Cricetulus griseus: one gene and its partner. The protein of the gene in region 1 purifies or fractionates together with the protein of each later gene. This does not show direct contact. Links are inferred from orthologs where the notes say so. Each region holds a gene or a part of one and is shown on either strand. Other genes may lie near its edges. The genes, in order: Spsb4 and Cul5.

The links.
Region 2: the proteins of Spsb4 (region 1) and Cul5 purify together in Homo sapiens (co-immunoprecipitation; 4 studies listed by BioGRID and IntAct, counting the BioPlex papers as one, with this or other methods). This does not show direct contact. The link is inferred for Cricetulus griseus from reciprocal best matches to the Homo sapiens genes SPSB4 and CUL5.

The regions. Positions count from the first base shown.
Region 1 is NC_048597.1:205,571,355-205,575,163, reverse strand, and holds part of Spsb4 (SPRY domain-containing SOCS box protein 4), read left to right. Parts: intron 1-1,974; 5' UTR 1,975-2,127; coding exon 2,128-2,821; intron 2,822-3,809. UniProt on the Homo sapiens protein: Substrate recognition component of a SCF-like ECS (Elongin BC-CUL2/5-SOCS-box protein) E3 ubiquitin-protein ligase complex which mediates the ubiquitination and subsequent proteasomal degradation of target proteins.
Region 2 is NC_048597.1:165,392,291-165,396,820, reverse strand, and holds the start of Cul5 (cullin-5), read left to right. Parts: upstream 1-1,569; 5' UTR 1,570-2,045; coding exon 2,046-2,069; intron 2,070-4,530. UniProt on the Homo sapiens protein: Core component of multiple cullin-5-RING E3 ubiquitin-protein ligase complexes (ECS complexes, also named CRL5 complexes), which mediate the ubiquitination and subsequent proteasomal degradation of target proteins.

The DNA of each region.
Region 1 (3,809 bases):
GTAGTAACGGCCCCAGTCCATTTTTAAGTGTCTGAATCTTCCCACTGTGTATTTTGCTCCCAGACCTCACTGTGAATCTGGCCAAAGAGCCAAACTTAGCCATAGCCTGAACACTAGGCTGCCCTCAGACTCCCTCCCCCAAATTAATTCATTCTTCACCTTTAAATTCGGCCTCTGTGAAGTCTCAGGACACAGACAAAATATGCATAGCTTCTTTGCCAGAGAGTAACTCAAGTGGCCCGGGGTTCAGTTCCCATGAGACATTGTTTCTGCTGGAACTGGATAAGATGTCTTACTGCTTTTGGCATTCCCTTCGGCATCCTGGTCTCCTTAGGTCTCAGAATCACCAGGGAAGCTGTGCTAACAGCGTTGTAGGATTTCTACGGCTGCCTTCTCCAAACTTTCTGAATTCTTCTAACAAATTACTTCCAGGAGCTTCTATACCTCGTGGTCAGGTATAGTCACCACACCAGCTGTGTATCTCAGTGTCAGCTTTCTGTGTCTGGCAGCCTTTTGTGCTATGACAAAATGCCTGACAGAATGCCCTAGAGAAGAAAGGATTTCCTTTCCTTGAAATTGCAGAGGTTTCTGATTATCATAGCAAAGAGGGCATGGCCCAGCACAGCAACCTACATCATGGCGATGGTAGTCAGGAAGGTAGGGGAGAGAAAATGCCTACAGTAGGGAGCTTTCTCTTCTCCCCCTTTTATTCTATCTGAATCGACAGCCTAAGGGTGGGCATTCCACTCTTGTTTAACTCTTTCTGGAAATGTCCTGATAGATACACCTAGAGGTGAGCTTTACTAATCTCATAGGTGCTTCTTAAATTGACAGTGAAGATGAACCATCACCAATAGGAAATCATGGGTAGGCAAGACAAAGCATGGCAGCATCCTATCTTCTCATTTGTCTTGGGAAAGTTGTCTTGAGCCACGCTGCTCCCAAGCTAGGGAAGAAGAAGGCACATACCGGTCCTCTGCCTGCCATGGGAGTCAGGTAGGGCAAAGCTCTACCTTCCTCTTCCCATAATTAGGGCCATCCAGGCACCCCAAGATTCCTGGAGCCTCAATGACCTTTCTGTGGTCACTTCTCCTGGAAAAATGTATTAAGGAATGTTAACTAGGATAAATGTTATCAATGATATTTCTATACCCAGGGAAAACACTGGTGTATCCAAGAGAAATAATTCCCTGTGGGATCTCTGAAGAACAAAGCCAAAAGGACACCTGCTTCCAGGATTCCAGATCTGAGCTTTTATCATATTATCTTTCAAGTTTCAGACCACATGAAGGGAGGTGTTTTATCCCATCTTACAGAGGAGGAAAGTAAAGTCAAGGAGAAGCTTTAAATAGAGAAGGATTTGTACCAGTGCTCTTTGGCCGCACAGTTTGGATTTACCAGCTCTTTTCCTCTTTCGTTGCCATTTATTTTCCCGTGGCGACAACACACCATCCTCAAATAGTTTCTGGAATCCTTGTCCCTGGGTGACCCTGCTGGATACTTGCTCTGTGTCTTACAAACCTGGTTTGGGGAGGTTTTAAGATATTTTTTTAAGCTCCAGACAACTGGAGCCTAAACTCATGAGTCACATGCTAAATGTGTATAACCCTGTGTCTCAGCACTCCATTTTCTGGGGGTTCAGTTCTTCTTGAGACAGTGATTTCCAGTGGTGGTTGTTCTGGTGCCAGAGAACAGAACCTGAGAGCAAAGGACCTTGGTTTGACTGGTGGCTCAGTCACTTATTACCTGTGAGACTGGCTAGTCACTGACCTCTGTAAGATTTAGATGAATGGGGAAACCTTAATCATTGAGGACAGTGTCTGCCATATCTCATATACTTAGAAAGTACTAGATATGAAGTATCATTAATTATTATGCACATTAGTTATGTAGTAGGGCCAGGGCATAAGTGAAGGGATGAGTAGCTGGCTGTCCATGCTTCTATCATAACCTGTGCCCTTTGCTTCCTTCCAGGAGCTTGGGCCCCTGCCACAGCCCAGCAGAGGCTGTGTAGATCAACCATCAGGAAGCCTGGTTCCCAGCCCCGGGGTCCATCCCTGGCTGCGGGGAGTGGAGGCTCCTGCGAGGTAGCAGTGGCCCGCAGCGGTCCCCTCCCCATAGTGAGCCATGGGTCAGAAGCTCTCTGGGAGCCTCAAGTCCGTGGAGGTACGAGAGCCATCACTACGGCCAGCCAAGCGGGAGCTTCGAGGCTCAGAGCCCGGGCGGCCAGCACGGCTAGACCAGCTGCTGGACATGCCTGCGGCAGGGCTGGCTGTGCAGCTGAGACACGCGTGGAACCCCGAGGACCGCTCGCTCAATGTCTTCGTCAAGGATGACGACCGCCTCACCTTCCACCGCCACCCGGTGGCCCAGAGCACGGATGGCATCCGCGGCAAAGTGGGCCATGCCCGGGGCCTGCACGCATGGCAGATCCACTGGCCAGCTAGGCAGCGGGGCACCCATGCTGTGGTGGGCGTGGCCACGGCCCGTGCCCCTTTGCACTCAGTGGGTTACACCGCACTGGTGGGCAGCGACTCCGAGTCATGGGGCTGGGACTTGGGCCGCAGCCGCCTCTACCACGATGGCAAGAACCGTCCTGGGGTAGCATACCCTGCTTTCCTGGGGCCAGATGAGGCCTTTGCTCTGCCAGATTCCTTATTGGTCGTGCTGGACATGGACGAGGGCACGCTCAGCTTCATCGTGGATGGCCAGTACCTGGGCGTGGCCTTCCGTGGCCTCAAGGGCAAGAAACTGTACCCGGTCGTGAGTGCTGTGTGGGGCCACTGTGAAGTCACCATGCGCTACATCAATGGCCTTGACCGTAAGTTTGCTGACCTAGATGGCAAGGGGTGCTGAGGCTCCCTGCCCCAGGAGGCTAGGGAGGGGGGAAGCAGAGCAGGTAGAGCAGCAGTTGGGGAATCCCGCCGTTTTCAGCAGTGGTCAGGGCCCTTGAACTCTGACCTCGTTGACGGCTAGGCAGTTTGGAGGCTGTGCAAGTGGCACGGTGGTCATAATCTAACCCGGGGCACTCAGGAGGGTCACATGGCATACTCCAACTCAGGGCACTCAGGAGGGTCATCTAGGATCATATGTGTACTTAGAACAGTAAATGCACTTGATAAGGGCTGTGGATGCTAAAGAGACTTATGAAATGACCCAAGCTGGAGAGCATCACTCATGCCCAGTCCCTGGGTGGAAGTCTAGCTATTAAACAAGAAGTAGTGTTAGCAACTGTCATTTGTTGCCACCTACTGTATGCAGGTCCAAACACCCAAATCCCAGCTCCTCCTGGCAGCTGTCAAAGGAGGTAAACTACTCTCACCTCCAGCTGACTGTAGCCTGTGGAAAGAAGCCCTGTACTATGGAATTCTGCCATTTTTCCAGACAACCAGAAATCTAGATACTGGGAAGTGTCCCAGCAGCTGCTAAAGACTGTGTGGTTGGAGTGAAAATCCTCCGTTGCTGGGTTTCACCCTAGCAACATGAGGTCTTCCTTTATTTAAAATGCATAACCTATGAGGTGGTTTAAAGGTCACAGTAATGTCAGGTAGTGGCGGCGGTGCAGCTTTTATTCCCAGCACTCGGGAGGCAGAGGCAGGGACAGGAAGTGTAGCTTCCAGGAAAGGCACACATAGCTACATGACCCAACTCAATCCCAGCACTTTATTGGGCTTGCTCACTCATACCAGCTATTGTGGTTTAAACATGAAATGTCCCTCATAGGCTCATATATTTGAACACTGTTCCCCCTCAGGAAATGGAACCTTATGGGAGGAAGCTAATCATGGAGGGGGTGGATCTTGAGTTTC
Region 2 (4,530 bases), about 40 Mb from region 1:
GTGTCCTGGAACTCTCTTTGTAGACAAAGGCTGGCCTTGAACTCCCAGAGATACGCTTACCTCTGCCTCGTGAGTGCTGGTATTCAAGGCTGGAATTCAAAGTGTGTGCCACCATCAGTGAGAACTTTCATTTTAAAGTATTCCAGATGGTACATTTTATAAATGACTTATTGCCCCACAAATGCTAGGCAAGCTCTTAGACACACACACTCACACACACACACACACACACTCTCTCTTTCCCCCTGACTCGCCCCACTCCCAGATGATTTAGAATTCATCTTTGTAGCAGAAGGGCATCGAACCTGCAATCCTCCTGCCTTAGCCTCCTGTAAGCTTACAGGTCTTACCCACCAGGCCTGGCAAATATGTAATTTAAAAATATATAATATATAATATATAAATTTTGCAGGGCGGCAGAGTCAGTTTGATCTCTGTGAGTTTGAGGCCAGCCTGGTCTACAAGGAAAGTTCCAGGACAGTCAGAGCTGTTACACAGTGAAACTCTGTCTCAAAAAACCAAAAATAAATAAATGAAATAAATAAATAAAATTCAAGGGTCCATGGAGCTTGCTGGCCACTAGCCTAGTTCAAGGTTCAAGTGACCTGTCTATCTTAAGGCAATGTAGCCAGGGAGCGATAGATGTCTTCATGAACACCTTTATAAAGGTACAAAAGAATGCTGTTAGTGTGGTGGTAGTGATGCTCGCCTTTGGTCCCAGCTCTCGGGAGGCAGAGGCAAGGAGAGCTCTGTGAGTTAAAGGCCAGCAAAGTCTACAGAGGAGTGCCAGGACAGGCTCCAAAGCTACACTGAGAAAACCTAGTTCTAAAAACCAAAAATAAATAAACTCACCCTAAACAAACAAAACATCCCCAACCCCCTAACCAAATGTTAGGAATTTGCATAATGCAATAACAGCCAACCTGTGAGATCCCTATATAAACTCTATTCTCTTGTTTAGAGATTCGTGATTTGAAGAGACACAGTTTGGAGAAAATAGTATAGGATGCTCTAGGTCTAGGATTTTTTTAAAAGAGTTTTTTGTTTGTTTTTAAGATTTATTACATATATACTGTTCTATCTACAAGCCAGGAGAGGGCACCAGATTGAATTGTAGATGGTTGTGAGCCACCATGCGGTTGCTGGGAATTGATCTCAGGACCTCCGGAAGAGCAGTCAGTGCTCTTAACCTCTGAGCCATCTCTCTCCAGCCCCTAGGATATGTTTGAAGGAGTCCGAGATTAATAAACACTTCTTGAACAAGCCGGGCATTTTTGAGCAGAGTGATGCTAGTTAACACGTTCGTACATCCATTTACTAAACGAGTAAATCTTGACTGGGCGCCTTTTCCCCGAGTCAGTCTTTACAGAGGACAGCAGTAAAAAAAAAAAAAAAAAAAAAAACCCTTTCCTGGCTAATCTCATCCAGAGCTGCGAATGAATCGCAGTCCCCGGATCTGGGGCGGCGAGCGGGTGGGGCGGCGCCGGCTCCAGCCAATAGGGGGCGCGCTCCGCCCTGCTCCCTGCCTCCGGACCCAGCGGCTTGCAGGCTCCTCGGTTGCTCCCAAGCACGCCCCCGCCCGCAGCGTCACGTGACGCCACCACGGAACCCAAGGAGCCGGGCCTAAGCCGAGTTAAAAGTCGTTGCCGGCGGCCGCCGCGAGTGCAACCCGAGAGGCTCACCCGGAGACGAGTGTGGCAGGCCCGGGGAGGTAGATGCTACCTTTTCCCGGTCAGGTCGGCTCCCGGTCCCTTGCCACCATTCGCCGCTCGCGTCTCCTTGAGCCTTTGCATGCGCTCTCTCGCGTGAGCAGGCCCCGGTTACCATGTAGCGGGAAAGCCTGAGGGAGCACGGGTGCCGGGTACGAGCTCAGCGCTGACGGCACGCAGCTTCGGCGTGTGTGGCCCCCCTTCCCCCTTCCGCCCCCCGCATCTCTGCCGCGGCCCGCGGGGCCCTGCTGGGAACTCCGGCCTCCCGAGGAGGCCTGGCCCCGAGCGCCGCCAATTCTCGCCGCCGCCTCTCGCGAGAGTCCAAGTTGAAGGAACATGGCGACATCTAATCTGTTAAAGGTAAGCCCCTGTCTCCAGCCGGGTTTCTGCTCGCGGCCGACGCGTTTAGTTCCTGGGTGAGCACCGGGCTCCGAGTGAGCGGCGAGATGTGAGAGTGTCTCAGGCTTGTCCACCGGAAGGGACCCGGGACGGCTGCCCCGAATACCCCGACGCCGGGCCCTGGCCTCGGGGTCCAGAGGCTTCGGTGGTTGCTCCCGCTGACTGACTGACTGACTGACTGACTGACTGACTGACTGGGAGGGATGCTTTCAAGGGACCAACCCAGGCTGCGGGCGACAGCAGTGTCGCTGGGCCCCCGGCGGGCGGCCCAGCCATTGTGACTCTTAGGGTCCGTTTCTTCCGAAGCGAGAGTCAAAGACATAATAGGAAAATTCTCGACAAAATGCTGCCTAGCAGGTTTTGACTAGGACCCCCCCCCCCCCGCTTCCTCCCCGGTTCCTTAATTTCTGTTCTCACTCTGCCTCCAGGAAATGCGAGTCAGATAGCAGTGCCTCCCACTCCGCCCCGTTTCTCCCTTTTCTGCATGTTACATCTTCCCTCCAGTTCTCTTGTTCTTGACTTCATGTTCCCATGCTTTTTGTTCCTCGAGGAACTGTCTCTCCCAAGCCTCGACTCCCCTTAGAGGACATCAGGTGACACCCGATGAAGTGCCACCGTCTTTTTAGCTGGTGGGAAAGTTTTTCTTATCAAAGAAGACATTGGGAAGTTTTTAAGTGTCAAGAAAGGCCCGGGGTTGGGGGATGGGGGGCAAATTCTGTTAAAAACTTAGGTAAGGACTGAGGAAGATATGGGGCAGGTTTGAGCTATTTGTGTTTTTAGTTAAGAGTCCTGTCCTAAAAGTATTGACTGAAATGGGGGTAGTGATTACCTGAGGGAAAATAAACACTGTATTCAGGCTCTGTGGATGAATAATAATAATGAAATAGAGAATGTGCCCTCCCCCCCCCCAAAAAAAAGCAGGGTCTCTTTAGCCCCATCTTGCCAGAATTTGCTGTATAACTCAGCAGGCCTCAAACTCACAGAACTGCCTCTGTCTGTGCTGAGATTGAAGACTTGCATCACCACCCTGGAGAGTCCTTTAAAAGGACCTAGATTCCCTGAATTTGTCTCTTGTTTTTTTCTTTGTTTGTTTTGTTTTGTTTTTTAAGACAGGATTTCTCAGGTAGCCTTGGCTGTCCTTGAACTAGCTCTGTAGAGCAGTGTGGCTTTGAACTCAGTGATCTGCTTGTCTGCCACCCTCTTCCCCAGTGATGGAATAAAAGCCATGTGCCACCACACCCATCTGAATTTCTGTCTCTTAAGAGCTTCATGGTATTGAGTTCCTTAACCTCTGCCCAAGCTTCTTCCTTCAGGAAGATGAAATTATCAGTACCATTTTTCATAGCCCTGTTGTGATCAAATGATTTACTTATGATGCTTTAAAAACAGTGATTGCACTTAATATGCAATTCACTAAAGCACTAGAACTTCTGTGCCTATTCCTATAGGAAAACCATTGGGCAGTGGCAACACACACTTTTAATCACAGCACTTGAGAGGCAGAGCAGGTGGAGGCCAGCCTGGTCTACAAAAACAAGTTCCAGGACAACCAGGGCTGTTAATACAGACAAGTTGTTACCCTGTCTTGAAAAACAGCTAACAAGAAGAAATAAACTAAAAAGAAAAAAGAAAAAAAAAAAGAAGAAAGAAAAACAGGTAAAACTGGGCCTGGGGTTGCAGGTCATTACCAATATGAAGGTCACTGAGGCAGGAGGATCATGAATTCTAGCCTAAACTAGTAGTAGTGAATTTGGAACCAGCTCAGACTACATTATATATAGACTAATTCACAGAAATGATATTACTGACTCTACTCTGCTTTGTTTTTCATAATACTGTAGCAAAATTCTTTTTAACATTTCATTTGTTTGTTTGTTTTTTGTTTTTGTTTTTTCGGGACAGGGTTTCTCTGTAGCTTTGGAGCCTGTCCTGGAATTCACTCTGTAGACCAGGCTGGCCTTGGCTGTCTGCCTCCCGAGTGCTGGGATTAAAGCCACCACTGCTCAGCTTAATCCCAACAACATTCTTAAAGTAGAGGCAGGCTTGATGTCTGAATTCCAGGCCAGCCAGGGCTATTGTCAGATCCTGTCTTTAAAACAAAAAAGAAAAAATAAATAAAAGATAAGAGTCTGAAGTCAGATGTCAAACACACTGCAGAGTTTTTGATGACCTTGTCTTGTGAAATAATAACCATGGGAAAAAGCAAATTTTGGAAATGAATATTATTTAGTATGTGATTTATTTTTTATTTCTTTATAGTTCTGGTTGGTCTTGGTATTTCCTGTATAGATAGATTAGAAAGATGTACACCACCAGGTCTGGCTTATAGTTTAAGATGGAATTTACAGTATGATGGACATAACAAACAGACATTTGATTCTGTTATCTGCACCTCAGTTGCCACATATTCACCTCTTTGAGG